Linked DNA regions of Danio rerio. The protein of the gene in region 2 purifies or fractionates together with the protein of the main gene of each other region. This does not show direct contact. Links are inferred from orthologs where the notes say so. Each region holds a gene or a part of one and is shown on either strand. Other genes may lie near its edges. The genes, in order: prkd1 and hdac5.

Region 1 (4,384 bases), on a different chromosome or scaffold from region 2:
TTTAGCCTGATATGTTTACTGTTCCAAAATATTTTAAATGTTTCCCAAATTAAAATATATTGTGTACAAAGGGGAAAAAGTTGTTTTTTTTACCCAGACATTTAAAATATAAATAGTTTTAGAGCAGTAATTACAATATTGAGATACTGTAAAACCGTGATATTATATCCAAGGTTATCATACCATTAGAATCTTATACCTGCCCATGCCTAGCTAGGCGATTTGGCCTAAAATCTAAATCTCAAATTTAACTCAATTACAATAATGAATGATTATTTTGTTTTTTTATTTTTTGCCCTTATAGTTCACTGACAAGTTATGTACTGTAAATATGCTCACATATTATATTAAAATGAAGGGTGCATACTTGATTTTAAAATAGTTGAAAGAAACGCACACTATCTACTATCTCTGATTGTTTATTGAACATCAACATTGAACAACTGAAATCTAAACACACATTGCCTAAAAAGAACAGTCAAAAAAAAGAGCTAGGAAAAGTAATGTAAACAATTGACCTGGAAAAATTAGAACGATTATAGGTTCTGAATGTGGATTTGATTGCTTTTCGATTAATCACCCAGTCCTGTCAGAGGACCAATTTTGAAGATAGGTAAAACTATATTTACCTATGCTCCCTTCTCTTATATTTCAAGTCTTCTATAGTTACTTTTGTGAGGAAAAACAAATATAAGCCACTTTTTAATGAACAGGGGTTTGTTTCCCAAACCACAACATAACTTGCGGCTGAACTATTATAGTAAGATGCATAGTAAAGTCTGCTTTTACAACGACACATTCAAACCACTGCAGAAATGTTCTAACCAACAGACCCATGTCATATACAGTACAGATACATTTCTTAGTAAATAACCTATTATAAATTAAAAGCATTAACGTTTGCTATATATTTTTGTTTCCACAAGCTTCAGAGACCAAACCTAAGTTCTGTTTTTAAATAATAGGTCACCTATAGCTTTCATCATGAGCCTCGGCTGCGTTCAAAGTGGCATCAATGTTTTCAAAGTGCATTAAAAAGGGAACGCAATTGTCAATGTAAAGATTGCTAAAACTAAACTGCAAAAATATTTGAAACTAAACTGCACCTAAGAGAGATGACATTAATGCTTTTTTTTTAATGATTCCAACTTTGAATGATGGAACGTTCGAAAGGAATAGGGCATGGGGGGGATAACTTGGAATAGAACACATCCAGGAACTATGCTTATAACATCAGCTCTAGAGGTGTAATTACAAGCATACAAGTCTGCGATGCAGTTTGCGATTGTTCGTCGGAATGATGGATTTGGGAAACGCTTTATTTCAAGTAGAAACTTATATACATTATATTTCTAGTAGTAATATAGAAACCATATTTTCACAGCATTTATTCTACAAGCTCCATTTCAAGTTAACATTCTGTTAGATCACCTATTATACCACTCAGCAGAAATCAATTGCTTTTTGGTGGATAGTTCCAGCAGAATTGAAAATCTGTTATTAATTCTCATCCTTAGACTATCCAAGATGTGAATTTGGTTATTGATAAATTTCAAGCCAATCAGCACTTCAAGAGTGAAAAGATATACAGCAAATCTACACAACTCCATAGCTTCTGTTTAAAAAACTGAGCATAATTACTTTCAATCCACAGCCATTGTAAATGGTCCTGAGCGTGAACTGTGTAAACAGTCAGTCAGTATGACTTGCATGTTATGAATCAAAGAAGACTATTCCAGCTAAAAATCATCAATAATGTTATATTGAGGGTGAATGTCACCTTTGACATTATTTTTGGGTGATCTTTTCAATGCCAATTTCATAACTGATATTTATGAACTTCTAGTGTAAATTTGACATTGCTTTATTAGAAAAGCAGAAAAGCACTTAGCAGCAGTTATTATGCTTTAGCTTGGTATATTCAATCAATTTAATCTGTTTGATTAAACAGTTCTCACATTATTCTGTTTAATTAATAACCAAAATTTTGGTTCAATGCCACATTATACTGGTGAGGCAAAAAAAAGTCCTTACTTGCCCTGATATACACTGTAACATACACATCTACTATAATGAGATTTTCCAAATATCATGGAAGCAACAACTTGAGGACAAAATCCACTAAATATTTTGAAAGGTTTCAGCACAAGAGACAGGCCTGCAGTGCAGTGATGCTGTGTTCCAGTAGGCTACAAGCCCCTCACTGGCTCAATAAGTAGGCTACAAAACGTCATCACTGTCAATGGAAAATACAATGCAGAACACTTAATGACGCTACACATTCAGTGTGTTTCAGCTGATTCAGGTTATGAAGTAAATAATGTTCTATCAGTAATTAAAAACAATTTCAATGCAATTTTCTGCCTTTTGAAAGTTTACAGCTCAGTTGTGAACCTGTAGCAGAATCCTAAATTATACATTACTAAATATAATAGGCTCATAAATTTATAGACATAAACGGATGATATAGCCTATGAAAAGCAATATTTTAATAAAGCATTCAAGTTCGTCGTAACTTAACATCATGTGAGGTTGGAACGAAATTCCAAATTCCCATAAATGCTTAAGTAACAAGTGGGCTAAAAGTTGGGCTATTTCCAAACTCCGGACCGCCACTTCTTGTTCAGGGTGATGAAATCTGTGGCATTTTTACGTGAACGACAATGAATGAAACATGAGGATTATGGAAAGTGTTACCTTCTGGTCCACGATGGAGCATGCCATCTCTCGGACTTGCGCCAGGCTGAACTCGCCGGAGTCCAGCAGGACGGGTTCCCGGCTCAACCCGATCTGGATTTGGAAAGAAATGCCTTGCGACCCCGGGAGGGGGCTCGGCGGTCGGATTACCGGAGGTACGCTCATATGAATCCCCTGTTGTCAACACAATTACGCCTGGTGGACAGCGATCGGATCGGGCTGTTTCACACACGAGTTCACACACCGGTTGCGCAAAACTGAGGCAAACTTCAGATCCCTAAAGACGTTCAGAGGGTAAACGAGCGAAAAACGTGAATTTGAGGAAAAAGCGATAGCACGGAAATGCAAAGAGTTATTTGGACATTGAGAGGCGAGGATGATGATGATGATGGAGATATAGACGTCAGATATGTTTAATGTTGGGCTCTGATCAGACACCGCCTCCTGGCTCCTTCATCATCACAGCTCAGATGATGCTGCAATGGCGATCGGGGATGTGAATTTGAAAGTTTATGTGCTGTGGATTCATTCTTCCCTCTTTGAAATATAGATAAAATTGGTGTTTTTCCCGTTTACCGGACTTATGAAGTGGAATCGGTAGCCTGACAATAATTGCCATGGTAACCGTAGCTTCCGCCAAAATACTTCCGCAAAACCATATGGGGCATCATTCTTCACACAGCAATGTAAGATTTTAGAATAATCGTTTTTGTTTTATGTAACAGGTGTGGCTAATGTCATGTTACGAGTTGTGATTTAAACCTGAATCTATCTATCTATCTATCTATCTATCTATCTATCTATCTATCTATCTATCTATCTATCTATCTATCTATCTATCTATCTATCTATCTATCTATCTATCTATCTACACACACACATTAAAAAATGTATGTATTTATATGTGTACATATACATACACATACATACATACACAAAAAAGAAAAAATAATAATAATAAAATATATATATATATATATATATATATATATATATATATATATATATATATATATATATATATAAATATATATATTTTTTATTATTATTATTATTATTTTTGTTACATAAAACAAAAACGGTATACATATATATATAGCTAGGTTAGTTTCCAGCGATAATTTCTATAAAAAATGGCAGTTCTGTTGCTTGATATAAAAGTAACCCCCATTCACATATGTACAATCATTCATCATATCAACTTGTGAGGATGGGCTCTTTTTATTATGCAGAAATATATGTATGCTGTTAGCCGTTTCTATGGGCCACTAAATTGGTCTTTATATGTAATCCAGTATGTAAACATTTGATGGCAAGTTGACTGTGCATCTGCAACTGTAGTTTAAACCATTCATAAATATCTACATTCGCAAAAAGCTTGAGTCGTAACACAAGACAAGCTAACGATGACAAAAATTTATATTCATTAATTTTCCTTTGGCTTAATCCATTCTTCATCAGTGGCCAACACAGAAGAATGAACCGTCAACTATTCCAGCATATGTTTTATGCAGCGGATGCCTTTCCAGCTGCAACCCAGTACTGGGAAACCCCCTTACACACTCATTCTCTCACACACACACACATCCTCATACACTATGGCTTTAGTTTACTCAATTCACCTGTACCGCATGTCTTTGGACTGTGGGGGAAACGAGAGCACCAAGAGGAAACCCAAACACGGGGA
Region 2 (3,726 bases):
AAAGTCTAGCGCAGAGCGCATTAGTAATGCACCTATGTGGGTTCAAACACTTACACATTGCTTATGCCATGCCTTCTTCATGCCTCCATGCCTTGTTCAGTTTATTAATGACAATTTGCATTTAATGTTATTATTGTTAGCAGTATTATTAATTATATGCATATTCATATTTGCTTTAATTAAAATAAGTTTAGATTCGTCCATCTGTTGGGTTTTGGAGATGTATGCATCAACATATGGGGCATAAGAACAGGACGTGTGTTTGGACATAAATAGTAAGGTTTTTGACCACACTTGGTTATTATTGTTCATTTATTTGTTTGCTGGAAAGTTTAGAAATAGTTTTGAAACAAATCTTTGCACTTAACAAAACTATATAAAATATGTAGGCTAATGGATGTCTTCAGTGGAGTGAGTTTCCACCATTTCCTTATCTATGTAAAGAGAATGGAAGAGGCTCATTCTTTATCCTCTTGCTGCAGATGGTCTGTTTAACTGTTTTCTTGCTAGTGAAGTGTTCTGTTTTTCCACTTACAAAGTCCACCATTTAAATAGCAAATGCACCAGGAAGCGACGCAACTGACTCTTAAAGGGAATGTGAGATGATACTCTGATTGGTTTAATGCACGTTATGTCCAAAACACACCTATAACTCATTAAGAGAATAAGCACAACCCTGTTAGACTATGCACCAGGATGCAGAGCGTATTTTTTCATTCTTAAAAAGGCAAAAGAGGATTCGACACACCCTAAATGCTTTTGCGCAATGCGCTTTAGACTAGATGGTTAAAATAGAGCCCTAGATGTATTTGTATAGTGAGTTTTATAGTAATAATTGTTCCGAAGCAGTTTTACAAAAAATGCACATTACATTACAATGAAAAGCAGGAAAAGTTAAGGTGTTGTATATAGGGTGGACACTAAAGCTATCAAGTGTTTATACACTTACATGCATTTTTATATAATATAATATAATGAACTTTATGACAAAGCAATATCTATATACATAATACATTTTTAAAGAAATAATCTGATCACTACAATTTTTTAAACCCTTTGTTGTTATCACTAAGACTCCAAACCCTAACAGTTTTAAACCAAAAGTACCAGATGTCACGTATTATTGTGTGTGTGTGTGTGTGTGTGTTTGTGTTTGTGTGTGTGTGTGTGTGTGAATTAATGTCAGGCACCTCATCTCCCAAAAGTGCCTCCACGCAGGATTCAGATGCGTCACAGATGGCGGTGAGGTCGTGACCTCCTTCCAGTGCCAAAACCACACGACCACCAGCCAACTTCATCAATTGCTTAGTGAGATGACCAAAGCCTACGAAAAGAGACAGGAGCATGCTAGGTAATTCATGAACTAAAAACCACAGTGTAATGTAGGTTAGGAGTGAAAAAGACTAATCCAAGTACTATGAGTATGACATTTGGAGCAATGATCTAGAAAAATGCATAGCTTTCATGTGTGTAATACAATTAGGGGATACTAAAAACATTTCTGCAATCTGAGCTCTCGCGTTTACTCACATTTGGCAGTGACGTTGTATCCGCCCAGCGGTGACTGGTGGCCCTCCACAGCATCGAAACCAGCTGACACCAGCACCACATCCGGCGAAAACTCATTGGCAATGGGCATCACCACCGTTCTACAAGCACACACATTTTTCAAGAGTTTTAGTGTAGTTTCATGAAATGTTTTTACCTTAAATGTACCTTTCCATTAACCATTTAGATTCCATAAGAAATGAAACCAAAGCATTACAAAAAAAATTAATAAATAAATAAAAAATATTCATGAAGTAAAAAATGATTCTTTTCTATTTAAACTGACTTTTTTCTTAAGCTAATGACTGACTATTTACTTTATTTGCTAATATTGAGGTGACCAATTCATGTTTATACATTGGAAAACAAATGCTTGCTCTGGTAATCTTTAATTAAAATCAGAATATGTGCTAATGTTCTGGAAGGACACTCCTCCTCAAATCACATCAATTTGAAGTGTAAAATACCATTTTGTGAGATTTGTATAAAAACAAATAATTCTTGTGCATCCTTATGGACATTTTTTCAATTCATTTTTATGTTTATTTTGGGTGTTTTTTAATGAAAACAGTATACAATTTCCAAAAATATGTATAATATTACATATTTAATACTACATTTTGATTGTGTTTCCGACTGAAATAACAATATTTAATCCAAGCATTATTTAAGCGTAAAGCCATGCTTTCTTTGTTAGCAGGCATCCATTTTATACAATAGTTTGGCCTCGAGAGCAAATACACACTTCCCCCCCTGTTTTCTACTATTGAGCAATGAATAAATATGTAAACAAACTGTCATCTACTAAAATCTATTTCAGTGTAAAAGTAAAAAAAATCTTAATAATTTGATGTTTTAGGATGTTTTTGACAAGTCCTCTCTGGACCTATGTTTAACCTTTTTAAGCTGACAGGCAAGAGTTTCTGAAAGTGAGATTAAATCTAGCATCAGCTTTCTTATCTCTATTATTGACAGACAGACAGGAAGTGCAGATGTCACCTGAAGGCGGTTAGATACTCCACATCACCCATAGGTGGCTCCACTCCACCTGTCCAGGCAATGTTGACATTAAAGCCCTCTCCTGGACCCACACCCACCTGCAGAGCAAGCCATATTGAAAAACAATGGCAACTTTAGTCATACGCCACAAAATAATGTGATGGAAATGTTGTTACCTCCTCAGGAGCGCCACTGCCAGGGAAGAAGTTGCCATCGTCATAACGATGCAGAGAAATATATAACACATTGGGGTCATTATAGAAAGCCTGCTGGGTCCCGTTTCCATGATGGATATCCTATAAAAAGCAATGAGTAAAGTCTGATTTTGGTATTTGTGGTCCGGTAAACATGTCGATGACAATTAATCAAACTCAAAAACACATAAACTGCTAAAAAACACACCAAGACATTGTATAACATTACAAAATTCCCTGCTCCATGGATGGATCCAGAGGCCAGGCACATGATATTTGACCAAGTTGCAATGTTTGAATTATCCCAAATATGTTCAATTGGGTTATGTTCAGGACTCTGTGCAGACCAGACAAGTTCCTTCACACCCAAAACAATCATCTATGTCTTTAAGAGTGTTAATTTGTGCACTGGTGGGCAGTAATGTTAGATTAAAAAGGGTCATGATATTGTCCAAAATGTCTTGGTATGCTAAAGCATCAAGAGTTCCTTTTACTGGAACTAAGGACCAATCCCAACAACCTAACAAAATAACCCCACACAATCATCCCTTCACCAAATTTTACATTTGCTACAAAGCAGTCAGACAAGCACAATTCTACTTGCAACCACCAAACCTAGGGTTGTCCATCAGATTGCCAGGCAGAGATTCTGACTCCAGACTGCTCTAGAATCCAGTGGTGCCATGTTTACACCACTGCATCCTACGCTTTGCATTGCACTTGGTAAGGCTTGAATGCAGCTGCTCAGCCATGGAAACCCATTTAATGAAGATCTCTACACACTCTTCTTAAGCAAATATGAAGACTACCAAACTTTTAAGGACTGTAGCTATTGAGCCTGAAGAAAGCTGGTGACTTCTGTGTTCTATACACCTTAGTATGCACTCTGTAATTCTACTATTTTGTGGCTGAGTTGCTGTATTTCCCAAATGCTTCTACTTTGCTATAATACCCCTAACACTTGACAGTGGAATACATAGTAGGA

Evidence for each region.
Region 1: the proteins of hdac5 (region 2) and prkd1 purify together in Homo sapiens (affinity purification with western blotting; 4 studies listed by BioGRID, with this or other methods). This does not show direct contact. The link is inferred for Danio rerio from reciprocal best matches to the Homo sapiens genes HDAC5 and PRKD1.

The regions. Positions count from the first base shown.
Region 1 is NC_133192.1:30,383,027-30,387,410, reverse strand, and holds the start of prkd1 (serine/threonine-protein kinase D1), read right to left. Parts: upstream 3,044-4,384; 5' UTR 2,863-3,043; coding exon 2,698-2,862; exon of another isoform or gene 2,620-2,697; intron 1-2,619.
Region 2 is NC_133178.1:21,717,094-21,720,819, reverse strand, and holds part of hdac5 (histone deacetylase 5), read right to left. Parts: intron 2,844-3,726; coding exon 2,724-2,843; intron 2,646-2,723; coding exon 2,548-2,645; intron 1,650-2,547; coding exon 1,531-1,649; intron 1,325-1,530; coding exon 1,191-1,324; intron 1-1,190. UniProt on the Homo sapiens protein: Responsible for the deacetylation of lysine residues on the N-terminal part of the core histones (H2A, H2B, H3 and H4).